Linked DNA regions of Notamacropus eugenii. The protein of the gene in region 1 purifies or fractionates together with the protein of each later gene. This does not show direct contact. Links are inferred from orthologs where the notes say so. Each region holds a gene or a part of one and is shown on either strand. Other genes may lie near its edges. The genes, in order: DDX17 and DROSHA.

Region 1 (15,333 bases):
TTTGTTTGCTTTTTTACTGCATTAATTCCTCCGAGCTAATGATAATAATAATAACTAACATTTATATTTCACTTACTAAGTGCTAAGCACTTTACAAATATCTCATTTGATCCTCACAACAGCCTCCTGAGGTAGGTGTTTATGTGTTATCCCCATTTTACAGATGAGGAAACAGGTGCAAACAGAGAAGTTTAAGTGACTTGCCCAGGGTCAGTCAGTATCAGAGGCAGGATTTGAACTTGGCTCTCCCTGCCTCCAAACCTGGAGGCCTTTCAGATCTGAAATTTTATGATGAATCAGAAGAGAAGTTTCCTTCACCCACTGCCCCATATAACTTATCTGGGCAATGTCTCCTTCCTGCCTGTGGGGGGACAATGGTGGAAAATTCTGGTGTTATGTTTGAAAATGAAGGTAAACAGAGGCAAGATTCTTTTATTAATTTTATTAGTTAGGCTAGCAGTAACCAATAAAGTGCATCAATGGCCTCTTTCAATGACTGTAGACCCTGAGTGAGGGCCAACAAGGTCTAGGTGCGTCTTCTTTCTGATTGGCCTGACGGTACATCATTGGGATCTCCCCTAGCAAAGGAGAAACCATCCCAATTGGTATATGTTTTCATGAGGAGGTGGGTTAAGATTACTTTGCCTTCTCCCCATTACTTCCTGTGGGGAGATGGGAGTAATCTTCAGGTAATAAAATTAGTCTGGAGACACTGTTTTGGTCTGTAGGAGGGCTTTAATTAAATTAACTTAATGAGTTAAGTGGCTGGTGGGTGAGGTTACAAGGGTGGACAATACCAGTGCAGAGATACAAACTTTAGAATTGAGATTCAAAGGACTTTACTCCAACCCTAGTAAAGGGTAGAGGTAGTTAGAAGACAAAAGCCTGACCTTTCTACACATTTCTCTAGCATGTAGGTGAAAGGTGAGTTTACAAGGGCAAGGAGTACACTCATGTGGTGTGAGAGAGAATAAACCTATGCCAGCTTGATGAAATCTTAAAAATAGAATTAAAATCCATTTTAAATTTTATACTGAATTTAAAGGATCTGGGAATCAATACTTTCCCCATTCATGGCTCCCAACTATATACTGGGTGTTCCCAAAGTATTTGTGTAGATTTAAGTAATTAAAGTTTTTAGTACATCCTGCACATGCAGTTCTTCTACCATGAGTCTCATGACACAAAACACCAGGATCTCTGAGTTGGAAGGGGCCTCAGAGACCAGCTAGTCTAGCCTGACCAGAAATTCCCTCTATAACATATGCCACAATCTGTCAACCTGCCAGACTTCCATTGGGAGGAACCTACTACCTCCACTGACTGTCCATTCCACTTTGGGACAACTTTAATTGTCAAGAAGAACAAATGTACAGGCTTAGAAGGAACTTGTCCAGTAGGTCTCCAAGGCCTCCTGATTTGCAGGTTCCCTCTCTCTCTCTCTCTCTCTCTCTCTCTCTCTCTCTCTCTCTCTCTCTCCCTCCCTCCCTCCCCCCGCCCCCCCTCCGCCCCATCAGGCCACACTGCTTTTCACACCCACTAAAAGTTTCAGGGCTTTTTCAGATTACTATCTAACTATAACTTTCCTATTCTGTACTGATAAAATAGATTGTTCAAACCCAGATCTAACACTTTACATTTCTTCCTTCTGAATCTCATCTTATTACAGTCACCACAACATTCTAGCCTACAGAGAGCTTTCTGGATTCCATTCCATTTCATTTGCAAATATGGTATGAGGAGGCCATGTGTAATATTCTTTGCACACCTTCAAGTGCTCTTGCACTTTTCTATGTGCTAATATTATTATTTTATTATTTATCCATGACATTGATTTAAAAAACCCCAAGATTAGCATGAAGGTCCCAAGCAGATGTCCAGGACAGGGATGGTTTTTGTCTTTTTTTTGTACCCCAGCTCTCAGCCTGGTGCTTGGCACATAGTGGGCTCTTAATGTTTGTTGGTTTGTCTTGCCTTCTGGGGCCATCTTCCCTGGATGGTACCAGAACAAACCCCCCAGTCTTCCTCTTGTTCTCTGCTGCTGTAGCCCTTCCTTTTCTTCTCCAGTGTCCATCCTTTCCCATCCCTTATACATTGCCATGTAAACTTTTAGGTGAGAACACCCTTGGGTGCTTGGGCAAGTCCCCTGTCATTCCATTTAGATATTACTCAACAGGCTTGGCATTAGTCTAAGTGTAAATCAGCCTCTTCCAGGCCACCTCTTTCCTCCTTCTCCTTGCCTCATTCCAGTTGGCTCATTTCTACCAGCCCTTTGGCCTACTAATCTTAGTGAGTTCTTAGCTTCAGACTACTTCTCCAAGTTCCCTGAAACCTGATTTGTGGGGTTTCCTGGCTTTTGCCATGGCAGCTCCCAAATGAATCCCCTTCTTCTGGTTATACAGGCAGGGGAAAGAATGTTGGCTTTTGAGTCAGAGGACCAGGGTGGGAATCCCAGCTTGGCCACTTATTATTACTTGTGTGAGTTCAGTCAGATAACCTCTTTGGACCTGGGTTTCCTCATCTGTAAAATGAGAGTCTTGGACAAGGTGACCTCTTGGGTAAATGCAGATGATCATAGAAATGTTTACATAGCCAAGCACTTTGCATATGTTATCTGAACTTCACAGTAACCTCATAGAAGAGGAAACTGAGTCTGAGAAGCACAGGGGCACATAGTGAGTCTGAGGCAAGATTCAAACTCAGGACGTTGTGACTTCAAGGCCAGTACCCTAGAATCCTAAGAACCAGTGCAACTCCCAAGCTTCCCTCTGATCATTTCCCCTTTGTTGCTTCCTTTACCTTTTGAAAAAGTTCTATTGATGCCACGTTTTTTACACAAATTATTTTGATCTAATATATATCAAACCTTCCCTTGTAACAAAGAAAAAAACAGTAAAGCCTAGTCATCAAATGGCCATGTCTATGCCCATAGCCTTTCTACCCCCATCTCTCTAGCTAGAGGAGAGAAGATATTTCATCATCTCCTCTGTAGAACCAAGACTGATCATTACAAGTAATTTACCCCTGTAATCTATTACAACTAGCTATCTGTAATCTTTTTTTTTTAATTGAGGCTGAAAAAGGTTAAGTGATTTACCAGGGTCACACAGCTACTAAGTATCTGAGGCTGGACTTGAATTTGTATCCTTCTGACTCCAGGGTCACTGCTCTATCCACTGTGCTACCTAGCTGCCCCTGCTTCTATAATCTTGATCAGTCTCTCCTGAGATTTCCAAAATTCTGAACAGAATCTTTTATAGGTTAGCAAGATTACCAGCCCTCCTCTCACCTTACTGTTCCTTAGGCTGCTACATATCTACCCCCTGAACCTCCAAATCTCTGCTTCTTTTCAGTCTTGGTAGAAGGGAAAGAGAACTAAGGGACTGGGTCCAATTTGGTCACTCACTAGCCAGGTGACTTTGGACAAGTCACTGCTTACTTCTCTGGACCTCAGTTTCATCACTGGTAAAATGAGAAGGTTGGAGCAGAAAGGTCTCTATGGGCTCCTTCCTGCTCTGTCAAGTCCATGGCATCAGTTTGATTGTTCAGTTCCTTTGGCCTGAACCAGAAAAGACATGCACAAAGATCATATGGGAAAAGTTTTTTTTTCTAGCTACAGTTAATTTTAAAAATATTGAGCACCTACCTTGAGTAAAGTCCCATGGTGGGTGATGAGTCAGCAACAATGTAAAACTGACATCTTATAAAAGTTTTAGGCTTGTGGGATGTGTCTTGAGAAATGTTGAGATGGTTGGTAGCATGGATGGTCAGTTAGTGTGGTGAGATTATATTTAAACAGGGAGAGGGATGATAAGCAGAAGAAGTCAACAAGGAAGGCATAAGACCTTCCCAGGAGGGCCAGGGATCCAGTCTTATTTAAAATGTGAATTTCCTTTAATCCAGCAAATATTCGTTATGCTCATATGTGAAGTGAGAGGAACCATGGCTTGGTGCTCAGAGTGCCAGCCTTAGAGTCAAGAAGTCCTATATTCAAAGCCTGCTTCCAACACATCTTGGTGAGACACAACTCCTAGGCTACCCTAGAAGACTGTAAACTACAAAGGGTTCTCCAGCTATACTATCAGAGGAAGTTTCTGAGGGATGAAATTGCAGATCCCTTCTCTCCTCCTCACCCCACCACGAAATGTTCTAGGTGCTGGGTTAGTCCTGGGGATTCAAAATAAAGTATTCCTGGCTCTCATCCTACCCAGAAAAGTAAATAAATGCAATTGGAGTGAGGAAAAAGGACCAATCATGTCATAGGAACTAGATCTAGAGCTGTAAGAGACATCAGACCTAGTTTTACAGAGTAGGAAACTGAGGCCCAGAGAGGTCATCACTTGGGTAGTGGAATTTTAACCCAGCTCCTCTGAATCTGTAGCCAGTGGTCTTTTCACTGTGCCTTGCTTCTTCCTGAGGTGATCAGGAAAGGTTTCCCATAAGTAGTGGCAGTAGAATTAAGCCTTGAAGAAACTAGGGTTTCAGAGAAACATAGAAGTAAGGAGAAAGCCTTCCAAATAAGCCAGATAGCCTGAGCAAAGGTACAGTGCTCTCTGTCTTAGAAAGAAATGGTATTCCCCAGGAGATCAATGGTCAGAGGAGATGACCAGGCAGAGTGTTGGGTGGCTTTTTTTTTTTTTTGGTAATTAAGTCATTTTATTTTTTTTCAAATTACATGTAAAGACAATTTTTTACAAGATTTTGAGTTCCAAATTTTTCTCCTTCCTTCCCTCCTCTCTGATATAGGTTATACATATGCAGTCACGTAAAACATATTTCCCCATTAGTCATGTTGTGAAAGAAAAAACAGAACAAAAGGGAAAAACCATGAAAAAAACAAAGAAACTGAAAATAGTATACATTCAGACTGTCAGTTCTTTCTCTGGATGTAGACAGCATTTTTCTGTCATGAGTCCTTGTAAATGTCTTAGATCACTGTGTCACTGAGGAAATCACCACTAAGTCAATCGTGGTTGATTATTGCACAATGTTGCTGTTACCGTGTACACTGTTACGGTTTTGCTCACTTCACTCAGGATCAGACCATGTAAATAAATCTTTCCAGGTTTTCCTGAAATCTAGACCAGGCAGTTTTCAAAAGAAGAAATTCAAGGTATCAACAGCCAGATGGAAAAATGCTTCAAATCACATGCAAGTTGAAACAGCTGTAGATTCTAGCTCAGACTGGCAAAGATGGCCTCAAAAAGGAAAATGACAATTTTGGGAGGGCCAGGTACACCAGTGGACTGTTGATAGGAGCTGTGAATTGCTCCAGCTATTCTTAAAAGCAGCTTGGAATTATACCCCCAAAATCACTTATGTGTGTGTCTCTTGAACTAGTCATATATCTTGCAAGAGGTCCAAGACAGAGGAGAAGGCCCCATATGTACACAATTTTTTATTAGCCAGTACTTTTTATTGTCAGAAAGACTGTAAACAAAGTGAGTGCCCATCAATTGGGAAAATGCTGAACAGATTGTGGTACATGAATGTAATGGGATGTAATGTACTATAAGAAATGAGAAAAGGGACAGATTGAGAGAAATTTGGGATGATGATGCAGAGAGGAGCCAAAACAATTTACACTACAGCCACACTGTAATGACAAATAACTGGGGAAGGACTTCAGAATGCTGCTCCATCCAAACTCCTGGAAGACGGAGGATGAAGTCTGTTTCCCATGTCTGGGAAGAGGTTAGATGGAGGAGGATCCAGGAGACATATACCTTCGGATGCGGCCAGGGAGTGATTTTGCTTTGCATAAATCAACTATGCTTTTTTATAATAAGGGAGGCCTTTTTTTGGGTGTGGGGGGGGGGTGCTGAAAATAAATGAGGAAGGAGTGATACTAATGTCCAAAAAAGAAAAAGAAAAGTGTCAGTGAAATATTTTAAAATACACAGAAGGGGAATCAGACAAGCAGGCCAGTGTTGAAACTGCCATATTTAACTAAACGCATACTTTAAAAAGCCAAGCTGTCCATAATAGAGCTTTGTGGTTTCCTACACAATCTTTTTTTCTCCACAAATAGAAATGTTTGTGTTTTCCCTGATGTTTGCTAAGCTTAGGATTAAAAATAAATTATTTTAAAAAAGCAATTAAGGACAGTGACCCCCAGGAACTGGAATTACAATTGGAATTAGCTGAATGGAGTTAAATAGGGAGGTCTAGAAGACATTGAGTGATTGATGCTGGCCCTTAAAAAGTGCCTGGTGAATTCATTAAGGAGAAAAGATTAAAGTCTTGACGGAATATTATCGTGGGAAGACAGCATGAGTCCGGGCTGGGGAAGGTATTGTCTCATGCAGGAAGGAGCCCAAAGCGACATAGGGGAAGAAGGCTGTGGGACTGGAGGGGGAGGGGTAGAGCTCCCCACACAAGTAGTAAGAGAAGCCCTGGGAGCTGAAGGGCTGAGATCCCGATACCTCATGGGTCTGTCCTGGGGATCAGATGAGGCAGAGGATGCCAGTGCTTCGCACATCCAGGCCAAGTCCTAGTGTTATCCAAAGGGAACTAGCCAGGAATCATCTGAGATGGTGAACATTATGCCAAATCTAAGTTCTCCATTTTTAGATGAGGGAATTGAGTCCTAGAGAAGTGACTTGGCCAAGGTCACCGGCTCATTTCTGGCAGAGGCCTCCTGCCTTGGACCTCACTCTCCATCAGGGATGGACTGGGGCCAGCAGGTCCTGCGCAGCTCGCTTTCCAGCCTGCCCACCTCCTTCCCAGCGTCTGCTAGCCTAAGGACTGACACTTTGTAGCAATCTTGGTGCGCCGTCAGCGCGGAGCCCTGGGCTTAGAGTCTGGAAGACCTGAGTTCAAATCCGACCCCAGACGCCAGGTAGCCGTGTGACCCTGGGCAAGTCACCTACCCTGTTTCCTCCTCTTCAAAATGAATTGAAGGAAACGACCAACCACTCCAAAGGCGTCCCTGAAAGTGGGGTCCAACTGGAGGGAGAATGAGCCTGCGGCCCGAGCCGGGGAGGTCCGGGCTCAGATCCTGCCGTGGGTCTCGAGGCCAGTCACTTTCCCTCGGTTTCTTCTGGGGTAAAAAGAGGGAAGTCACGAAGCATTTATGAAGCCCCTACTGGTAACCAAGCTCTTGGTTCGCTAAAGACACCAAACCTCCCCCCCCTTCCCCCGCCTGCCGTCTAAGGAGGGGCGCACCAGGGAACCCAATCCAGTGCCAGTTCAGGGACAGGCTTGGACCGGAGAACCGGCTTTCAGCGGCCAGCTCGTTGTGCATTTATTAAGCGCCTGCAGTGTGCCTGCTAGCCCGAGCGCTAGATAATTACTGGGCACCTCGAAAAGAGGCGGGGGGTGGGGGGGAGGTCCGGTGCGCAGGCGCACCGCGAGTTAGGGGGAGGGGCGGGCCCTGCGGACAGCGGCGGGGGGAAGGGCGGGGACGGCGGCGCTCCAAAGCCCGCAACATGGAGGACGTTATTGTCGTCGCGGCGACGCCGCCGCAGTGGAGGCCGGAACCCGGTATTCTCCACCTCCGCTACACTACGTAGAGGGCGCAGTGCCGCGGTCGCGGGCGGGCGGCGGGCTGCGGACGCCAGGAATGTTACGTAGCGACCCGGCCGCTCCCCGCCCCTCCCCCTCTCCCCCGCCCCTCCCCCGCCCCAGCTTACGCCACGTCGTCGCCCCGGCCGCGCGCCAGCTCTACGCGCGCTGCGTAGCTCGGGGGCGCCCTGGCGGGCGGCGGGTGGCGGCCGCCTGCGCAGTCGGCGTGGCGCGCGTTCGGGAATGGCGCCGGGGCCCTCTGCTGGGGGCGCGCGGGGCGGGGGGAGGGGCGCGCTATCCGGAGCGGCTTACGTGCCGCCTGGGCCGTGCGTAGCGCTGGAGACGGCGCGGCGGCCGCCATTTTGTGGAGCCGCGCCGCTGAGGGAGGAAGGAGCCGCCGCAGCCGCCGCCGCCGCCGCAGCGCGCCCGCCTTCTCCCAGCCCCGCGCCCGTCTCCGACGCGACCGCAGGCGACGGTGGCGACGCCGACGACGGCAGACGTCGCCGAGGAGCGAGCGCTTCCGAACCCCGGGCCCGCCTCGGCCTCGTCCGCCGCCGCCTCCGCCGGGCCCCTCCGCGCGGCCTGCGCCCCCGCCGCCGCCTCGCTGCTCCTCAGGCCCCCGCCCGGCCGCGCCCCGCTGCCCGACCCCGGCGCCACCATGCGAGGAGGCGGCTTCGGAGACCGCGACCGGGACCGGGACCGCGGAGGGTGAGGCGGGGAAACCGAGGCAGGGGGAGGGGGCGGGCCGACTGGGCTGGACCCCGAGGCGCGGAGGGGGGGGGGTCACCATGGAGGCCGCGGGCACCCCCGGAGGAGGAGACTGAGGCAGGACCGGCGCGGGAAACGGCCCTTATTTATTCAGGGGGCGGCCGGGGCGACTTGGCCCCGGGTCCAGATGGGGAAACCGAGGCGCGGAGAGGAACCTAGGCCTTGGAGCTGGGAGGGTGTGGACCTTGTTCGGAGCCTTGTAGAGGCGGGGAAAGGAGGCGAGAACCCTGCCGGAGGTGGCGGAGGCTGCCCCCTCCTCCCCCCGGCCCCGGGGAGCGCTTTCCCGTCCGCAGAGGGCCCGCAGAAATACCGCAGGAGAGGAAGGTCGGGGAGGGCCCAGCCCGCGGCGCTCCTCTCCCTCCGCTCCCAATCCTGTTAGGTGGGGGGAGGGGCCAGGAACCAGGCCCGGAAAAGTTCCCCGTGGAGCTGAGCAGGACCTGGCCCCGAGGCTCGAGTGCCAAGATCCTCACGATCTCGGGCTCCAAGGGGCCGTTGGTGGTGAAGGGAAGAAAGGAATCCCCCATCAGATACAGAAATAGGATTTTTTAAAAACCCTTTTAAAACAAAGATTACAGAAAAAAACTACTGTGCTCCAGAGGATGGTGGGGAAATAAAGAGGGATATTTGGAATCAAATTGAGGAGGAAATGGAAGGTCCGTAGGGGCCAGGAATATTGTGGTTTTAGGTTTAACACCTGGGGGGCACTTAATGCTTAAAGAAAGACTAGCATTTTCCCTTGTTGCCTCTGTTTGTTGCCTTAGCTTCTTGTGGCATCTCCAGCTAAGGGTGTCTAGTATCTAGCTTTTTGGGTTCAGAGTTCTTTATGTGTTAAAGTCGTTTGGCAGGTTAATAATCCTTTAATTTGTATAGTGCTGCATTTCTCTTGATCCTTAGAGGGGATCTTGGAAGCCAACAGCTTCCAGCCAGGTCAAAGGACTTTCCCTAGATCACATGACTCATTGACTGGCCCTGGCCTGGAAGGTAGCCAGGTATACTGATTGCCCACTCTTACTCTTGACTTTTCTCTTCTGATGGAGATCTAGTGGGCATTAAGTAAAACATTTGTTCATTGCATTGAGGATTCCACCAGTGCAGAGTAATGTCGATTTTCTATCTTAAGAAGATTCAAAGAAACATGGTGCTGCCATTTTGGAATATGCACTCCTACTTGTAGACTCTTTAATTGTAGCATTTTAACTGAAGAAGGTGCTTTGGGGGCCCATTTAAGAGAATACAGAAGGTATTTAGCCAGTTGCTGCCTCTTTGACAGGTCTTAAATCAGGTATGAAGGGTAATGGTCTTGGTTTTTTTTAAAAGACTCAAGGCCCATTCTCCTACTGGATCCTTAATATGGTCAGTTGAGCTTTCTCATTGTAAGTTCAGATTTTGGGAAGGTGAATTTTAAATTTGAGTTATTATACAAACTACTTAATTCTAAGCTTTCAAAATGTTAAATGGTGGTATAAAATCTTTTGGGAGTGGGGTCTGGAGAAATTTAAACTAAAAACCAATAGATCAGGTCTGCAGCATATTGAAATATATAGTAATAGGATCATGTCTGATTTTGCCTCTCAATGTCACTTTAGCTTGTTGAAGAGCCAAATGGTTTGAATTTGCCTATTCTCTATACAAATACCAGATACATATATTTCATGATAATGTACCTTAAGGTGTAACTATCAGGAGAAGATAGCAGCTTCTGATTCTTGTTTCATTACTTAGCGCTATTCCTGAATGCCTCCATAAATTTCAAATGACAGAACAGTTGCCTTAGTACAAATAAAGTGGTGCCATTTTAGGTGCCTGTAAAGACCTTTTCATTCCTTTCTCAATTATCCCAACTTATTTTTGCCCAGATAACTAAATTGTTAAACGATATACACAGGAATGGGTATGGTTAAGTAAGTGATGGCTGTTTTTGTGATATAGTGCAAAGTTCTGGCCAGCAGCTTCTCAGCATCCTTTTAATACGTACCAGAAATTTTATAAAATTACATAAATATTTAGCATCCAAAAATAACTGGTAAGAAGTTGGATATTACCGATCCCCCAAATTGTACTCTTGCAAAGCCCACTTGAACGGTTATTTTTTTTAAAGATGGAATAGATCATACAAATCCATATGTGGGCAACCTTTTTGGCTTAGCTTTCATTGATATAAATGTGTTTGAAAGAGTTGAATAGCCTTCAATTGATAATGGTTTCATCCAGAAACTTTCTGATATAACAGGACAGATTATAATTAGTTAATTGCTAATTAGTAAAATTTAAATCATTAAAGAGAGTTGTTGGGCTTATTAAACACATTATTATGAAAGCAAATACATAAAGTGTCAGACAATTTTTTTAAACCCCATCACCACCCATCTTTAGTGCAAAATAATAAAATAATTTTGTATTAATAGCAAGAGCAAAGGTCTGACATTCTTAAGAAAATAGGTGCATCATTTTATTTGTTAGTTTAAAAAAAAATGGAGCAGTGCTGTTAGAACTAAACCAGAAATGGATAGCTGGGAGATTTAATCCAACCCAAACGCAGGCCTTTGCTTCCTTGTTTGGAGAAGAACCTGTTAGCTTTGCCTCTGTAGTCTTGGTGGTGTAGGCTAGAGAAGATGCCGTTGAAATGACTGTTTGAGCTGGGGATTGTTTATATGAAAAGAACGAAACCTTTTTTCTCCAATGAAATCTCTTTGTTCTGTTTGCTTTAAACTGTCGAAAGTGAATACAGATATTCGGATAATAGGAACATCTTCATTCTGAAATGTGTAAACAATCACTAGACATTTTGCTTACATGACCTCATTTAATATACTGCTACAAAGTAATTTTAAAGAGCAAATTTGAATAATTTTTATTTGGAGGAATTTTTCCATTTAATATTATATACTCCAAAATAATTTTTCAAATTATCTTTTTCAGAAGTTTACTTAAAAGATTAGGAGGAAAATGCCACATTTTATGTAGATTTCCTTAACTGTTTGCTGGCCTTAATATTTTATTTTCTGATACCTGTGATCTGTATGCATAAATATCAAGCTGGCTTTATCCAGAGATGGAGGAAAAGATCCATTATTAAGCTACTTAGCTAAAATGGCTGTCTTTGCTGGTTTCATTTTTGAACTTCCTTTATGGTTCTTATTCACTGATGAAAGATTCTTTTGTGAAATAAGCCAGTGGTTTCAAAGGAACATGAGTGATTTTAATTCTTCAAAACAAGTTGGAACTGTCCTTTTTGTCCTTTCCTATTTATATTTAGAGAAGATTGTAATTGTGTATGTATATCAAGATTTTTTAATAATTTGAATTACAGGAAAAAGTTGGAGACTCAGTTGGACTTTTAAAAATAAGCCATGCATTAATTATAAAGTTGGACTTCCAGAATTGCTTCCATAGCAATAAGTTCTGAGTAGATTTGTGAAAGAAGAATCTAATTAAGCATGGCATGTTACAAGGTGGGGAAGGAAGAGCATCCTAATGTTAGACACTGGGAGAGCCGACTCCTCACTTCCTGATGTTCAGTTTTATGGAAAAGGCATTGATGAGGAAGACTTTAGACAGCCAGATTTTGTTGTCTGCAGGTGTAGCTGTCTAGAATGGCATTTGAGGTTTAATTTAATATTTTATTTAATCTTTTACTTTTAAAAAGAAAGGGTCTAGTGTACTTTTTGAAAAATGTAAATAAAGTGGACTAATTTTGATGGGCTTAGGTTTGGAGCAAGAGGAGGTGGAGGCCTACCTCCAAAGAAATTCGGTAATCCTGGGGAACGTTTGCGCAAAAAGAAATGGGATCTGAGTGAGCTGCCAAAGTTTGAGAAGAACTTTTATGTGGAACACCCTGAGGTGGCCAGGCTTACCCCGGTAAGTTTCTACAGTGGGTTTTGTAAACATGAAGAAAATTATAAAATGGCAAGCATGTACTTAAGTGGTGGTTTTTATCTTAACATGCTATGAGTCTCTTATTATTTCCATGTCTTTACCTCTGTTATAGTTGATCAGTATAAAATGCATTTTTGCAATAAAATGATTTCAGTATATTTGGAAAGTACAAATAATTCACCACTTACAGTAATATTTGAGAGCCAGGAAATGAGAACTGGTATTGTTCCTAATTGTAAATGTCTTGTCAGGTTCATCGGATTTGAAGTTGGAAGGGTCCTTAGAGAATACTTAGTACAATATTTGCTTTACTTTGTGCTAAATAAATAGTAAACTATAAAATAGAGCCATCTGGTTGCTTATTTCCATTCCAAATGTTCACTCTGTAATAATCTGAGTTTGAACTATTACAATATGATACAGAATAAAAAGCTAAATTTACCAGAGCTTCGTCAAACTATTCTTTGTGTATTTTATACTTTGATTGACAAATGGACAAAAAGGATAAAATGAAAATTTTTTTTTTTTTTTTGGCCTAATGATGACCCTAGAGCCCTGAGAAATTCCAAATCAAAGAAAAATGAACATTTACAGGAGGGTTTTCATAGTGGGAAGAACATCAGTCTAGGATTGGGGAGACTAGTTGACTTTGCCTTTGATTAGTTATCCAACTTGGAACACAATACTGTGCTTTTTTTCTTTTCCCCCCCTTTGGTCAAAAAGCATTTCTTAAGTACTTACTGTATGGCCGGCAATGAGTTAAGCAGTAGCTTCACTTGATCATTTGTAACATGGGGCTAGAATTACTACTTTACAGGGTCATTTTAAACATCAAATGGATAAGGGCTATGAGATACAGTTTTGTTACTAAGAAACAATGTAAACATAAAAATTAATTTCCATCTACAACATGAGTTGAAACATGGTTAGGATGCCTTGAAAAATGATAAGGCCTCTGGAATACCTACTTCTTTGACCATTTGTAGATAATTAAGATTTTGCTATACCTTTATTGTATCTTCCAGTTTCTTCTATATCTTTCTGTATCCTCCAGCTAAAAATCTTGTGGGAAAAACAAATGCAATCTTGAACAAGGATAGCTGTTTTATATTGTGCATCTCATTAAGTTCTGTGTATGAATAGGGAATTGCTGACCTCTTCCTATGCCTCAGTATAATCCAGTAGAATTTAATTCAGTTACTTCAAACCATAACTAAGAATAACTAGCATTTATATAGTAGCTGTTATAGGCCAGGCACTGTGCTGAGTGCTTTTATGAATGTCTCATTTGATACTTAAAACAGCTGGAGATATAGGTGTTATTATCTATATTTTACCATTGAAGAAGTTGAGATGAGCAGAAGACAAGGTCACATAATAAGAGTCTAAGGCCAGATTTGAAGTTGGGTCTTCTTGACTCCAGACTCAGCCCTTTTTCCACTGCACCACTAGCTTCCTCAAAAGATTTCCGTTAGTCTGCGCCATGCTTAAAACTGGTAGGGGAAAACAGCATTTTAAAGGCTTCCTAGTAGATACTTGGCTTTATTTTAATGAAATGGAAATTCCCATAATGGTTGCCAAGTTAAAGGAAGCTATACCATGACTGTCCCAAATAGAAACTTTGTGCCAACCTGCTTGGTTTCATCTTACTGTAGTACGAGGTTGATGAACTGCGCCGGAAGAAGGAGATCACAGTGAGAGGGGGAGATGTTTGTCCTAAGCCAGTGTTTGCCTTCCATCATGCTAACTTCCCACGTAAGTATTCGTTTTAGTCAAGTTATTCACATAAGTATTTATGACTCTTGTGTATAGAGACCACTGATACAGAAACTGATGAAGGGGGAGATTTATTTAATTGATCGAAGGATAAACAGGAAAGGTAATTGGTAATTTTGTATAGATTAAATGTAGACACCAGGTACCCTTATCTGACAACATGGGCAGCTGTCTAAACTGGAGGACCCTGCACAGATTTTGATGGGTGACCTGGGAGTATCCACACTGGTGAGGTCCTTCATTCAGGCTCATACACTAGACATTATTGATTTTTTTTTAAACAAGTTAAAGGGTATGGGGAGACTGTAGATCATAAAGTTCTTAGTGACTAGGAATTTCAAATTTGTCAAATCCTAAAGGCGCTTGAGAGAAGAGAGAGTGATAGATACCATCAGTGTTCTAAAGTGTGCTTTCCTGTGAACTTCACATGATCTTGTTAAGAGATATTCCTTTGGAACAGAGATTCTTTTTTTTTTTTTTTTTTTAATTAATTTTTTTATTTTTTTAATGTTTAACAATCACTGCCATACAATTGTGATTTTATCCCTCCCCACCCACCCCCCACTACCTCCCTCCCTCCCCACGACTGCATACAATTCTGTATAGATTCTACATATACTTTCCTATTGAGTATCTTTTCACTATAGTCATGCTATGTAGTCAGACTAAGATAAATGAAAGAATCCGTATAACAAATCAGAACATGATACACAAACAGATACACATACACAAACATGATCTGCTACATTATGTGAGTGACTTCCATATTTCTCTCTCTGAGTGTGGAAGGCATTTTGCCTTGAGGTCCACCATTGGGATTTTTTTTTTTTTCAGAAGTTCTTGGGTTATTACAAAAATCTAAGTCTACCAGAAAAAACTCTCACACACTGTGGTTGTTGCTGTGCATAAAGTTCTCCTGGTTCTGCTCCTTTCACTCAGCATCAGGTCATATAAGTCCTTCCAGGCCTCTCTGAAGTCTTCTTGTTCATCATTTCTTATGGCACAATAGTACTCCATTACATTCATATACCATAATTTATTCAGCCATTCCCCAATTGATGGACATCCCCTTGACTTCCAGTTTTTGGCAACTACATAGAGTGCTGCTATAAATATTTTTGTACATGTGGGACCCTTTCCCATTTTTATGATCTCTTGGGGATATAGTCCTAGTAGCGATATTGCTGGGTCAAAGGGTATGCACATTTTTGTAGCCCTTTGGGCATAGTTCCAAATTGCTCTCCAGAATGGTTGGATGCGCTCACAGCTCCACCAACAATGAATTAGTTGGAACAGAGATTCTTAACCAGCGCTGTGCTTTGGGCACCTAGACAACGGAGCTGTCCAGAAGAACGCATGGGCATTCTTATCTGGTCTTTAAACTTGATTTCTACCAAAAAGACAAAA
Region 2 (15,123 bases), on another chromosome or scaffold:
AAAAGTTTGGATAAGGTAAGGATGCTGAGAAATATGAAGCACATCATGGTTCAGGAAGAAAGAATCAGAGAGGTCAAAGATTTGTGAATGAAATAGAAATCTCTTGACACTATAATATGAATTCTTTTGTTTCTTTAAAGAAAGAATTGATAGATACTGTACATGAAAAATACCAAATAACACTATACGTGTGTATGGGGCAAGGGGAAATAAATTATTTGAACTAGTAAGACATTTTTGATGTAGAAGCTATCCAAGAATCAGCTTTCAGGAAACAGTTAAGAGCATCAACTCATCATTGCTAAGATCAAAATGAGTAAAACAAAAGAATGAAAAAAGATGCATATGGTGTACAATTGAAAAAAAAAAAGAACAACAGCATCCTTATTTAAACAAACAAAAAAAGGATGGTTTCCTGTATGGAGGCACCAAGCTCAGCTTCTTCATATCAGCTTCTGAAAAAAAACCAAAACACTGTGCTAAACAATAATCAAGAAATCCAATGAGAAACTACATTAAGTGACATCTTTCATGTTGTAACTGTAGAAAGGCAGTAGATCAGAAAAACAGGAAATGAGGACACCAGAAAAAATCAAAGCCAGCAACTAGCTAACCAGCATAATCAGAGATATTTACAAGGCTGTGTGAAAGGCTGCAAGCATGAAAGGGGCTCTCAACAAAACAACAGGAGAATCCATGCAGATGTATCAGAGTTCAGATGTGGATACTCTGAGCCCAGGTGCTCAGAGATCTATACTATTTTGTCCCGAGATGCCATTTAGGGCTTTCCCAATGTTCTTAACCTTAAAAATTCATGGTGGAATTTGGCAGAGGTACCCAGGTGACCCAAACTGAACCTAAGGAGAGAAGACCAAAGAGCAACAACAGAAGGAACCTGTCACTTTAGAACCTATGATTGAAGAGATGAGTAAAGAACTATAATAAAGTCTAACAGGGGTGGGGGAACCTGTGGCCCTCTAGATCCTTGGGTGCAGTCTTTTGACTGAGCCCAAGTTTTATAGAACAAATCTTTTCATTAAGGAGATTTGTTCCGTGAAGTTTGGATTCAGTCAAAGGGATGCACTTGAGGACCTAGAGGATCACACGTAGCCTTCAGGCCGTAGGTTCCCCATCTCTGGAGAAATAACCAAAAATAAGTCCACACCAACAGTAAGCAGAGATTCAAAGGAAAAAAATGGGCTTTCAATAGAAACTATATGAATACCCAGAAAAAATGAAGCAAGAAATTTAAAAATAAAATAAAAGCTCAAGAGAAAATTGGACAAAGAGTTAATCTTAACTTGAGTAACAGTTGCCCCCAAAATTAAAATAGATGAAAGAGATATGAATGACTTCATGAGACAAGAAATATTACATCAAAATCATGAAGAATATTAGAAAATGTAAGGCATTGTATGTGAAAAATAACTAGTCTGAAAAACAGGTCAAGGAGAGATCATTTAAGAATCACTGCTATATCTGAAAATCAGTATAAAATATAGACAAAGCTTGGATATTTCAAAATAGCATAAATTAAAACAGTATTTCAAGAAAGTATAAATTAAAACTGCCCAGATTTATGAGAACCAGGGGACAAAATGAGGAAATACAGAATCCAACAATCATCTCCTCAAAGAAAATTCAAAAGGAAAACCTCAGGAATGTCAATCAAAATCTAGTTCTTCCAGGTTAAAGAAAAAATTTTGCAACCAACTAGAAAGAAACAGTTCAATAAAGAAACCACAAGCAGGATCACACAGGACATGGAAGCTTCTAGCATAAACCAGAGGAGATCTTGGAAAAATATTCCAAAAAGCAAAAGATAAAAGTATGCAATAGTAGCTAATATTTACATAGCACCTACTATGTGTCAGGCCCTGTGTTAACTGCTTTATAATTATCACCTCATCTGACGTTCCCAACAACTATAGGAGGCAGGTATTATTACTATTCCCATTTTATATATGAGGAAACAAGCAAACGGAGATTAAGTAACCAGGAATGCAGCTAAAAAGTGTCTGAGGCCATATTTGAACCCACGTGTTTCTCATTCCAGACCCAACACTCTACCCACTGCTTCTTCTAGCTTACAACCAAGAAAACTTAAATTTTTAAATAGCTAAATAAATCCTGCAAAGGAAAAAAAAAATATGGACTTTTAAGTGAAGAGGGCTTTCAAGCCTTTAATAGAAAGGATATGAACTCTGAAATGCAAACACAAGACTCAAGAAAAACTCAGAAAGGTAAAATTATTTGAACAATTTAAAGCTGAATGATGATTTAGTACTAACACTGAAATAAGCAAAGAAAAAGCAAGTGTCCCTTCAAAACTTTAATGTCTTCAAAAGGTACTAAGAGAAATAATAAAGAAAAACAGAATACTTGGTTCTATTCTACAAATTTTAAGAGAGAAAAGGGAGGACCAAGGGCTACACACTAGTTTATAAAGAGGGAAAAAAGAGGTAGAACTTGCTACTTTTCATAATTGGGATGCATGAGAAGAAAAGTATACAAATGGAGAAGAAAGGTTAGGGAGACTGAGCATATAACAAACCTTAATCTTATTTGAATTAAAGATATAACAGAAACAATCCTGTTCATTAACCCATGACTAAAAAATAAACCATGAGGCAAAGCACTGAACAGGGAAATGCATTTGTCACTTTTACAGAGCTGATACATCAGAGTTTGGGTTGAAGAGCTTTTCTCTGTGAATAGCAAGATTCTCACTTTGTTGTTGCTCAAAGAAGACAATGTGATGACTGCATCAAAAGTCCTGAGATACTGAGCTTCCTGGAAGAGATCTGCAATCAAAGAAGTTCGGCTTATCTATCTACCCAGGAAAAACCAAGTGAATGAAAAATGTCTATTACTCAAATTTCAACATGCTTCTAGATGAACATACCATAATGCTTCAACTGAGAGTACTATTGATGGACAATGAGTTGGGTAGAGTTGAACAGGATGTGGCAAAAGAATTGAACTGCTTTGGGGAAATTGCAAAGCTCCTTTATTTACCTCAAGATTCTGACATAAGCAAAGGGTCATTTCTTTAATACTATTGAACTGGTGCTGCTATAAGGTATCAAGACATGGAATACACCTGCCTGTGAAGAAGTAAAAATGAGCATCATACCGAGGGAAATGGAAAAGTGTATGGTGTAATAAGGTTACAACAAGAACTCTGAAGAACAGGAGTAAAAGATGTCATCAAGAAACTGTATGACCGGAAGAGAATATAAGCTATTCATGAGGAAAGAACAAGGGATGATGGGTTGCCAATGTTCCACGGATAGCCTAATGTCAAGTGAAATGAAGGCCTCCAACATCTTTATGGAAAACTTTTTAAAGGACAGATATAAGTCATACAAGGAAAAGGAAGGAATAGAGATGGTTACAGTCTATATTGCTGGAGGATACTCTTGATGAATAAGATCGTAGATCCAGTGGAATTTCTCATCTAAGAATGACTTTTCATTGAATACTCCCTCATTTCAATGTTGCATTTTCAGTACCTTTTCCTAACATTTCTCATGAATCACTACATTTGGATCTATCACATTCTATCCTGTATTTTGCCCTCATCTCTCCTATGTTTCCATCACTCTTCCCAAAGCCTAAGATTTACTACCACTATTCCCAAAAGGTCAAAATACCTGGGAAGCAAAATTTTTAAGGCTTCAAAATTTTAAGTGTGAAGGAGTCATAATTAATCCTTACTTTTCTATGCAGGAAGCTTAAATAAAATGCTTAATTTTGCATGATCAAATCCAACATCCTAATTTTACAGACAAGGAAAATGAATTCTAGAGGTCACAATATTAAATTCTTTTTTCATGTATGTCCAGAGTTTACCTCTGTACATTTTTATTACATGTTTATCTATGAGCACAGTGTTGCACAGTACATGCTTCTCTTTAACATTGTATATCATAAACTACAGACACATGCTTATCTATAAGTACAGTGTTACAGTACAGGGAACACTGAACTTGGAATCAGAAGACTTGGGCTTGCTTACTATCTCTGCCAACAATTTTATGTCATTTAGGGAAAAAAATTCATTATAGATTCAGTTTTATATATCAGTATTCCCTATATCAATCAATAAGCATTTATTGAGCACCTATGTAACAGTCAATATGCTATACTAAGTATTAAAAGATAAAAGTGAAAATCTTTGACTTTAAGTGGCATACATTCTAACCAGAGGATGTGTATAGAGACAGATAGATAAAAATATATAAAACAGATACAAGGTAAATTTGGCACGAAGGCACTAGCAGCTGAGATGAGGATAGGCATCATATATATGGTCCTTCAGTTGAACCTTGAAGAAACTTGGGATTCTTACTGAAAGGGCTGGAGATGATGAGAGAATGTATTCTGGGTACTGAGACCCAATCAACACAGAGGCACAGAACAGAATTTAAGCATTGTGTATAAAAAACACTAAGAAGGCAGGTTTGGCTGAACCACAATATATGTGAAAGGGAGTAACTTACAATAATAAGGCAGCAAGTTAAATTCTGACAAAGTTGTGAACGGCTTTATGATCCAAAGAGTCTTTATTTGATCTTTGATCTTAGGGAGTCACTGGAATTTTATTCAGTGGAGGAGTGACATGTTCTACCCTACACTTCAGGAAAATCACTTGGGCAGCTGTGTGGAGAATGGAATGATGAATGGAAGTACAAAGACACTTGAGAGACCAACTAGGAAGCTATTTCAAGTCTAACTGAGACCTCCTAAGGCCCTGACAGACAACAGGAGCTGGACAACAAGAGTTGACAACTGATGGGATACAGAGAACAAATGAGAGTGAAGAGTCAGTCAAGAATGACACCATGAGTGCAAACCTGAGTGACTGGAAGAATCATAGAACACCATAATACCAACAGCAATAGAGATGTTCAGAAAATTCATTAATTTTGGAGGAAGGTTCATCAGTCAACAAGCATTTCAGAGTCCACTGTGTGCCAGGTACTGCAGTAAGAAATAGGAATCCAAATACAAAGAAGTAATCAAATCTCTACTCTCAAGGAGCTTACATTTATTTAATGGGATGAGTTCAGTTTTCCTCACGTTGATTTGATTTTGAGGACATTATGTCTGAAATGTCAACTAGAATATTTACTAATGCAGGAATGAAGTTCAGGAGAGAAAATAAGACTGGCTATAAAGATATTGAAAACAATTATCTAAATATGAGAAATGTTTACTGTATGGAAAGAACTGCTTTTATTGCAATTTTGTATTGTGTTTTGCTTACTGCATTATCATGAAAAAGTTCAATATATAAAAATATTCTCAAAACAGTGCTCTGTATGGCAGCTTACCGATTACAAGGTATTTTAACATGCTGATTCATTTGATTGTCACCACAACCTTATTATGCCCATTTTATAGATGGGGAAACTAAGACTGAGAGATGTCCTATGCCATGTAGCTTGCCCAGCTATTTCTTTAAGAAAGGATCTGAACGCAGGTTTTCCTGACTCCAACACTTCCATCCACTACACCACTACACATCTTGGAAGTTTTTATATTTATAAATGAAACGATTAGGAAATTAAACTTCCAAAGACACAGTAAATTAATGCATGAACTGAAAATTTTAACTTAAAAAAAAGACTTGTGATCGTAAAACTATCAAGTGAGAAAATTACCTTGCCCCCACCCGCCCCAAAAGTAAGCCAGCAGAAAGACGCCTTAGGGAAGGTTAGGGCTACAGGAGGAATAATTCAGGTAAAACGCATGCAGCAACGACAAAAAGCTGACTGCTTCCAAGGACCGACTCAGCTACGTACAGAGAGGCTCATCACCAGCGGGCTGTCCGTAGGGTGATGAATTCTTTGCCCATGGCAACCTATGAATCAAAGAAGAGAAATCTGAAATCCGCCCGGCTCGCCTTCCCCACCCCCACCGCGCAGCTACTTCACGGAGGCATCCCCAGTGGGGTCACTTTGCCTCTCGCGTCCCTGCATCGCAGCGGGCTCGTCCCAGGATTCCGGAGCGGGAGAGCCTGGAGGATCACGAGGGCCGGGACATAGCTGCAGGCCCCACCGAGGCCAGGAGCCAGCCCCGACTCCTTGGCCCCAGCATCCCCCCCGCCCCGCCTCCGTGAGACGGCGGCTTCCCCTGGGACGGGGGGAACAGCGAGTCCTGGAACAGACACCCGCAAACCAGGTGGCATCCGTGGGCCTCTCTCCTTACCTGCAAGAGCTGCCAAAGCAGCTGGGTGGCGGGGAGCGAAGCCCGACACTAGCAAACGCCAGCCTCCTCTACCGCAGCAACCACCAGGGGGGAAACAGGGAGGAGCCGGAGGGCCAAGGCTGCGGCAGGAGAGCCCGCACCACTGGAACCGGAAGCCAGGGAGTAAAGGGCAGGACTGCGGCGTATGAGACAGCCCTGCGGCAAGCGCATGCGCTCCAGCTTCCCTCCGAAAGGGGTAAAGGAGCTAGTTGCGTCAGGAAGAGAAAGCCTAGAAGATCCAATCAACGCTGTGCATCCCTCAGGGGGCGGGGAGATTCAAACTAGGTTGGCCCGCCCTTCCTCCTTCCACATCCGGGTGAAAGCTAGTATTTCCGCTGATTAGTTTTCTCCTGCTTGTAGGGTTTGGAGTGTTTTGGTCCTCTAAATTTCTCCCCGTAGCTCCTCCTTCACTCCTCACATGGAACATTCGCAAGCCTGAGGTTCCATCTCGGAAGTCTGGGGACCTGGAAGTTCTGAGCGCGGATCAAAATGACCCAGTCCCCCGGCCAGCGGCCTCCGCTCAGGCTCTACCCGAAGTTACCCGTGTGGGTGGTGGAGGATCACCAGGAGGTAAGAGCTCGGCCCCGGGTGTCAGGGCTGGGCCTGGAAGAGCGCGCGCCCGACCAGGTCACTCCCCAGACTCAAACTCCGAGGGCTCCCTGTGACCCCCGGGATCACGTACAAAACGCTGGGTTTGGTGTTCCAAGCCGGCCCCCTCCTGTCTTTCCAGGCTTCTTCCACCTGACCCCCGCCTCGGGCTCATCTACCCCACGCCCCCGTGACACTGACCCCGCCGCGGGCTGCTGAGTGAACGGGAGGGACCCCCCATCTCTCGGGTTCGCGCCTTCCTCTGGACCCCAACCCCCGTTCCTGCAATGCTCCCCTTCTAACCTGGCTTTCCTTAAGCCCAATTAAAATCCCGCTTTGTACAGAAAGTCTTCCCCAATTCTCCTGATTCCAGAGCCTTCCCTCTTCCATTTATTTACTGTTTGTCCTGTATGTATGTTGTTTGTGTTATTTTTTCTTGTTACTCTTTTCCATTAGAACGTAAGCTCCGTGGTCAGCAGAATTGATCTTTTGTGTCTTTTTGTATTGTCCTCAGCTCTTAGCACAGTGCCTGGCGCATGGTGGGATTGATCTGTGGTATTAATGTTTTGAAGGACTACTCATAGGGTAATGGAGTTAGGCATGGATTAATGAATAGAGAACGTGATCAGTCAAGAATGAATTAAGCATTTATTAACGCCTGCTGTGTCCCAGGTATTGAGCTTAGAGCTTCAGATTCAAAGAAAAGCCCAACGGTCTAGGTGCTTCCAATCTAATGGGGGAGAGAGCATGCAAACCGAAGTACAAATTGTAGATGGGGTTATTACGACATTGTCCTGGGATTCATTGACTGGGTAATGCCAGTAAGTAGCCAAGTGACCTAGAGGTCAGAATTACAGTTTATTCCCTCAGAGTGAGACACTATCAGAAGCTAAGGTCCTCTTACCTAAAAATTTCCCGGTGGACTTTTGAGGCCAAATGCCTTCCACATCAAGAACTGTGGAATTGGATCGCAGAATGAAGTTGACCATCTTCTCTTGTGTTATGTTTTGTTTTGTTTTATGGTCTCTCCCATTCATGTTAATTCTTCTATGCAATATGACTAAAGTGAAAATATATTTTAAAAGAATGTATGTGTAGAACCTATATGATGCACCAAGGGACAGGGAAGGAGGGGGGGAGGGGGAAAGATATATGGCAGTGATTGTAGACAACTGAATACAAATAAAATAATTATGAAAACAAAAGAGGAGGCCCTTTTCCTCAGTCTAGTACAAAAGGAAGAAATTCTTAGCAGTCATCAAGTCAGAGGTTGATCCACAATGTTAAAGACTGAAGAAAGGTCTAAGAGAATGAGGATTGAGAATAGACAGTGGATTTTGCAACAAGGAGATCAGTAGTAACTTTGGAAAGAACAGTTTGGTTGGAGTAATAAGATCAGACGCCAGACTGCAAGGGATTAAGAAGAGAGTGAGCGGAGAGACAGTGGATGCACCTATTGTACATTTTCATTTCCAGTAGTTGAAAGAAAAAAGCCAGACTCCCTGCTCTGTTTTTGGACCTTGATCTCAGGTTGAGTATAGCAACCAGTAGGACTGTGATATTGAACTTTTAAAAACTATGATTCTTTCATTCTTTTAAAAATCTAATTCATATAATGAATTTGTTTTGGTTTTACCTATGCAGCAGATAACAGTCACCAACCTAGAACTATAAGTAATATTTTTAGGAAGCCTTGCCCTTAAGTCATCAGTCTATATATCCTAGAGAAATTAGTTAATGCAGGTTCCAGGGGGAGAGGAGGGAAGAATCAGAAAGTAAGATCTTCCATTCTAGGCACAGAATCATAGAATTCTAGAGCTAAAAAAAAAAGACCTTAGAGATCAACCATTTCAGCACCTTTATTTTATAAATGAGACTTAAGTCCTGAAGAAGTTAAGCAATCCTTCTAGATCACACTAGTAGTTGTTTCTAGAGATAGGATAGAATGACAGTGCACTGACTAGAAATAGCGATTTGGACATCATCAACAATAAATAATGCTACATCTCTCCCGTTTAAAATTTAGCTCTTTATGATGTTAAAGTTTTCTTATTTTAGGGTTTTTTTCTCAAAGCCAATATAATGTATTTGTGCTTTCATTTATCTCCTGTAGGTCTTGCCTTTTATATACCGAGCTATTGGCTCAAAACATCTTCCTGCCAATAACATAACTTTTGTTCATTTTGATTCACATCCTGACCTCCTTATTCCCGTAAATATGCCAGCAGATACTGTGTTTGACAAGGAAGCTCTCTTCGGGTAATGTATATTCAATACTAGTCAATTCTCATGTGTTTGAAACTTAGTTTTTTTAATACAGATGTTTAGTAACTAAGGAAGTAGAATTGTCTATAAGTTTAATTTGCCCTGAGTCACATATGCCCACAGCATATGTTTTTGGTTTGTTTTTTTTTTCCTTTGCTTTGAATTACAAAATTCATAGGCAAGGAGTAAAAGGTTGAGCAAATAGCTTTCTGTGCTATTTGCAGTGTACTATGTTTTGCTGAAAAGTGATTTTTTTGGTTTTAGATTTATTGTGTCTTTTATTTTTATACCCCATTTTCTCTCTGCATTTCCTCCCTATTCTCCATGAACCCTCCTTATAAAAAAAGAAGCATGTGCAAGCAAAACCAAAGATACAAGACTATATATGTGATATATGTGCCGTAGTCTACTTGTGCTTATCCCACTGCTGTCATTAAATTGAGAATTGATAACAAAACATTTGAGAGAGTGAAGAAATGTTTTGTCATCAGTTCTCAATTTAATGAGATTGAGCATTACAATTAAGCAGAGTTCCTGACTGATTCAGTGACCAATCAAAGTCCGGAGGACCAGAGTTGAACAGTGCTACCCACTTCCTGACACAAAGTTGATGGACTTAAAATGCAGGATAAGACATTTTGGTTATGCACGTTGTGGATATTTGTTTCCTTGACTACACATTTGTTACAAGGAATTTATTTTTCTCTTTTTGCTTTCTTAAGAGGGACACAGGGAGAAAAATTAAGCAAAGCAATCTTTTCAACTCCTTTTTAGTATTTTCATAATGTATATAAAATACTTTGCAAACCTTAAAGACCAAGTAAATATGAGCTGCTGTTTTAATTCCAATTATTATTTTTATTATTATTCTGTTTCTTTCATTCTGTCTTAGTCTATTATTACTCCTGTGTTTTTTCTAATTCCTCAGGTTTGTCGTTTCTCAACATCAAATTGTATGCTGTTATACTAATGTAACGTAGTTTGTTCATTTTGAGTCACTCCCCAAGAGATGCGCATCCACTTTGTTTTGAGGTTTGGGGGCACTATAACTCATATATGGCTTTTCTTCTCTTTGACCTCTTTGGAGTATATACCCTATTCTAGGTCATAGGTCATGGACAATATGAGAAGTTTTCTTATATAAATTCAGTTATGATCCTTAATTTCTGAATTAGAGAATCTCATTTGGAAGAGACCTCAAAAGCCATAACTCCTTACCTGAAAGCTAAATCTCCCTTAAAACATCCCCCAAATATGACAGAATATGTCACAACAGATTTTTAGGAAAAAGAATGAAACTATCCATCATAAATAATGTACTTTATTGCCTCGTTGCATATGAGAACTTAAATTAAATATTGATTATTGTTGCAAGTTGGAATTAAATCTATTCCATCTCATCCTCTGCCTCTTGCTGATTGTCTTCAAAGATCCTCCACAGAGAATTCATCCAGTATGCTTTGGGCCTTCTAGGTTTTTGTACATTTCTGTGGTACCAATAGAACACTAACCATCTGTTATCCTTCCCTCCTTCTATTTGTCCATTCACTTCCTTTTCTGATCATGCATTTCCTGATTATCTCTTATGTCAGTGGGATCAGACTCAAATAGAAACAGATCCCTACAGCCACATATTTACTTAGAAAACCACAATTTAGCATTATTATTTTTTTCTTTTTATTTGTTGTTGATATATAGAAATGCTGTTTATTTTCATGCATTTATTTTGTATTCTGCTACTTTATCCAAGCTACTGTATCCATTTCCTTGCTTTATAAGATTGTCCAAGGAAACCATCATGTTATCTGCAAATAGGGATTCATCTTGTCTCTTCTTCATCTATGCTTATGCCTTTAGTTTTTTTCTCTTGTTTTACTGCTAGGGCTGATGTTTGTAGGATTATGTCATAAAACAGTGGGAAAAGTGACATTCTTCTTTTACTCCTTTATTGTGAAAGCTTCTAGAGTTTCCCCATTGCAAATAATGGTAACTTTTCGTCAAACACATATATACATACAGTCATTTAGATGTGGTACTTCTCTATGTGTGTTCTGTTTCATCTACTGATAGAATCAAGTAGTTTGTGATGTTTTTGGTTTTTTTCCCAGACCTGTGATTTCATTGGTATTTTGAATTTCTGCTGAGGAAACTCTGCTTTCACACTTCTCTTCCCCACCCCTACCTGTGCATAGAGGTCTCCACTTTGTGCTTATAGCAGTAGAGAGTTGCCTCAGTGACTGAGAGATTAAGTGACTTTCCTAAGGTCATTAAACCTATTTTAGGTGGCACATGAATGTAGCTCTTCCTGACTCTGATGCCTGCCCTCTATCCCCTGGACCACATTATTGTATTTTTAAAGAGAATTGTTGATTGTTTTCCTGATGTTGAATTATGCTTGCTTCTCTGACACAACTCCAACTTCATTCAGCTGAAATTTTATTCAGTATTTTTCTGTGACTGTATATTCCTTTTTTTTAAATTTTTACAAAAGACTACGTACAATTTACCACCACCATCCTCTTTTGGTTTTTTTTGGATGGGGTATTGATCCTTAGAGAAGTACTGTAATTCTTTCATTTTCATTCCTTTCAGTAGCAATTTTCTGTAGCTTGGAATTTTAAAGTAAACCAAGCAAATGTTGATAAAAGTAAGTGTTTCTCTAACTAGTTCTAGCATATTAACTATGTAAAGAGTATTTTTAGATTTAAATGAAAGTTTTTTAATTTATAACTTAAATGTTTCTTCTTTAATTTCTTCTCTAGGGAATTGAGTATTGAGAACTGGATTATGCCTGTAGTTTATGCAGGTCATTTTTCTCATGTAATATGGCTCCATCCATCATGGGCTCAGCAAATCAAGGAGGGCAAACATTGTTTTCTAGTGGGCAAAGATACCTCCACTACAACTATCAGGTAGCACATTATCATTTCTATTGGTATGAAAAGGGTTGAATGCTTCATGTCTTTTAGTCATAGCTAAATAGGATAATGAGCTATTGCTCATGTCTTTGTAGGCTTCAGAAGCTTAGAGAGTGCCCTCCTCTCAACAACTCTGTGATGTAAGTACTAATATCTCCTTTCACAGATGAGAAAATTGAGGCTTAGATAGTTACAGTGTCTTGCCCTGAGCTAGTAATTGTCAGACCTGGTATTTGAATCCAGGTTTTGTCTTATAAATCCATCTCTCTGCCACCCAAATGCACTTGCCGCACATGCACATAGTACTTTTATATTTTGCCCTTAAATTTAAGTCGATGTTTAAATCTTTCAAATTATAATTTTGTTCTAAAATAGAACTCTGAATTCTAATCTTTTTTTCATCTCGTGAGTGACTTCATTAATTCACTTTAATTCTTTGGCAGGCAGTGTCCCTTAGACCCTTTGATTAAATAATGCAAAACGTAGTGTATGCAACGCACAATATTAGATCCTTTTTTCTTATTTTAATTTCCAGATGTTCTCTCATTTCATCTCACTGATAACTCATATTTATCTGTGCTTTTCAGTTAAAAACTAGTTTTCTCTCACACCGTGAGAGGTAGTGCAAATATTATTATCCCCATTTTACCTATGAGGAAATTGAAGCTTAGAGGGATTAATTATTGTTAGAACCCAGATCCTCTGACTCCATTTTCATCATTCTTTTCTGAAACCACTGCCAGAATTAAATGTTTCCTGTTTTCTGATTTTTATTTTAATGTGTAAATTTTGGTGAATTTTTGTTTTCAGGATTCTTCTGTACTGGGCTACCTTTCCAAATTTTAAATGAGAGTGGCACCATTGTGTTTTAAAATGTTCTGTCTTAGAACTCTTAAGAATATACTAGTCTAGTTTTCAGTTAGTATGGAAAATTTTTTTGTTATTTTAAAAAAACACAAAAAAGAATGTGTTGCTGTTTTTCCCTTTCTATTACTGCATACTATTTTGTCATTAACAATTGAGTGACCAAATAGGCTGTTTTATGTAGAATTAGGTCCTTATCTTACATATCAACTTAATATTATTTTCTTTTTTTTTTCACTTATATTTAAAAACTATTCCAGCCATTTTCATGCAGTTACTAACACCAATTGTAGCATTAGAATTTCCATCTTAGGATCACATATTTAGATCTAGAGTGGTCCTTTAAGATCATTAATTTTAAACAATTTAGAGGGCTAAAGTGCATAATAATTCACATCTACCATAGCATGTGTTACACATGACTAATTTACATTATGTACACCAGTATAACAAACTTTGCTATGTATCTTGTATTACCAGTGTAATACTTTTGGATATCAAAACACTTTTTTCTAACAAAATATATGCTGTACTGGCAGTATTTTTATATACATAATAAAAATTATTTATTTTCAAGTTGTGTATAGGACAACTTGTAAAACTAATATTGTAAAATGTGAGCCTGACCTGATAGCTAGCAGGTTAATAAAAATGAAATATGATTTTATTGCTAGAGTGCCAGTCAGGGAGACCCTGGGTTTGAATTCTGCCTCTGAACTGACAATTACTAGCTTCAGCATAATGGAAAAATCACTTAACTTTTCGAAGCCTCAGGCAGTTCACTTAATTCTTTATGTTATACACAGCTTGTGATCTGCTTTCTCCAATTGAATTATCACACTGATGAAATCACAAGCCCTTGATGTATTGGACATGATTTTCCACTCCTTTAAGCAGTTAAGCTAAATGTTCAACAGAAGCCTTGAGGGATTGGGGGAGGCTATGGGAGTAGTATTAGCTGTTCTTACAAAGTCACCAAATCTGCTAGCTAAAAGGCATCTCAGAGATTGCCTAGCCCACATTTTTCATCTTACAGGTTCTGTTCTTTGTTGATCTTGAAGACAAAATATATGTATGCGCTGCTCAGTATAGTCAGTGAAATTTGGATAAATGAAAGAAAGTGAATTTCACACAGACACAGAATGTTAGAGGTAGAAGAGAACCTGAGATTTCGTCTAATCCACAGGTTGCACAGATAGTAAGTGTCTATCCTGGGATTTGAACCCTGATCAAATTCACATTCTAACTCCTGTCTTCTTTCCACTCTACTAAGCTGCCTTTCCAAATTTTAAATGAGAATGTATTTTAAAATATTCTCTTTTAGAACACTTAATAATATGCTGGTCTAGTTTTCAGTTAGTGTAGAAATTTTATTTCCTAGTTAGACTGTGAAGGATGCTTTTATGTATGGTTTCTTATCAAGTAATTCAAGGATTTTTATCCATTTATGTTCTTTTTTAATTTGATGAACTATGCTATAGGAAAAAGATTCTGGTCATTAAAGGACCTAACTTAAAGTCCCTTCAAAGAGAAAAGTAAATAAAAGGTAATGTTTTACTTGACTAAGAGTTGTTCTAGGGAAGCATTTGGTTATGCTGATTAGTTGATGCTTGTCTTGTTTTTTAAAAACTTAAGAATATGCTGATACTTCAAAGGTAAGACACCTACCACTCATGTTCATGTGATTCAGTAAGTTTTCTTTCCATGTTAAGTATTATAAAGGTAAATTTTAAAATTCCATTTTCAGTTTTTCAAAACTTGAAAACCCTGGATTTTCACAAAAAGATATATCTTTACAAGTTATGAAATTTTCTTCTCCAAATATTGCTTTTCTATTATGTTTTTAGATGTCTCCTATTCCTACCATGTACACTGAAATTTTAACATTTTCCCATTTTTCACTTTTGGAAATTGTTTTCCTGTGATTTAGGGTTACAAGTACAGATCATTACTTCTTAAGTGATGGTCTTTATGTCTCTGAAGACCAGCTCGAGAACCCAAAGCCTTTAGAGTTGGATGTAATTCTGGTAAATCCTTCCCAGCTGGTCAGCAGTCAAGAGGAAAATGGAGCAATGCCTTTGGCTAAGAGACTGAAGCTAGATGCAGAAGAGTCACAAAGCACTACATTGACAAACTCTTCCTCTTCAGAAGGACTTTGTCCAACCCCAGAAGCAGAAGGGATGGAAAAGGATATGGGATCACAGTTGGCTCCCCAAACTTGCATAGCACCAGC

The links.
Region 2: the proteins of DDX17 (region 1) and DROSHA purify together in Homo sapiens (co-immunoprecipitation; 3 studies listed by IntAct, with this or other methods). This does not show direct contact. The link is inferred for Notamacropus eugenii from reciprocal best matches to the Homo sapiens genes DDX17 and DROSHA.

The regions. Positions count from the first base shown.
Region 1 is NC_092874.1:295,922,696-295,938,028, reverse strand, and holds the start of DDX17 (probable ATP-dependent RNA helicase DDX17), read left to right. Parts: upstream 1-7,892; 5' UTR 7,893-8,164; coding exon 8,165-8,214; intron 8,215-11,981; coding exon 11,982-12,132; intron 12,133-13,805; coding exon 13,806-13,905; intron 13,906-15,333. UniProt on the Homo sapiens protein: As an RNA helicase, unwinds RNA and alters RNA structures through ATP binding and hydrolysis.
Region 2 is NC_092875.1:390,996,464-391,011,586, forward strand, and holds the start of DROSHA (ribonuclease 3), read right to left. Parts: upstream 6,382-15,123; 5' UTR 6,217-6,381; intron 5,870-6,216; exon of another isoform or gene 5,811-5,869; intron 1-5,810. Other genes in the region: C4H5orf22 (UPF0489 protein C5orf22 homolog), read left to right, coding at 6,745-6,825, 8,957-9,102, 11,871-12,020, 12,122-12,166, 14,821-15,123. UniProt on the Homo sapiens protein: Ribonuclease III double-stranded (ds) RNA-specific endoribonuclease that is involved in the initial step of microRNA (miRNA) biogenesis.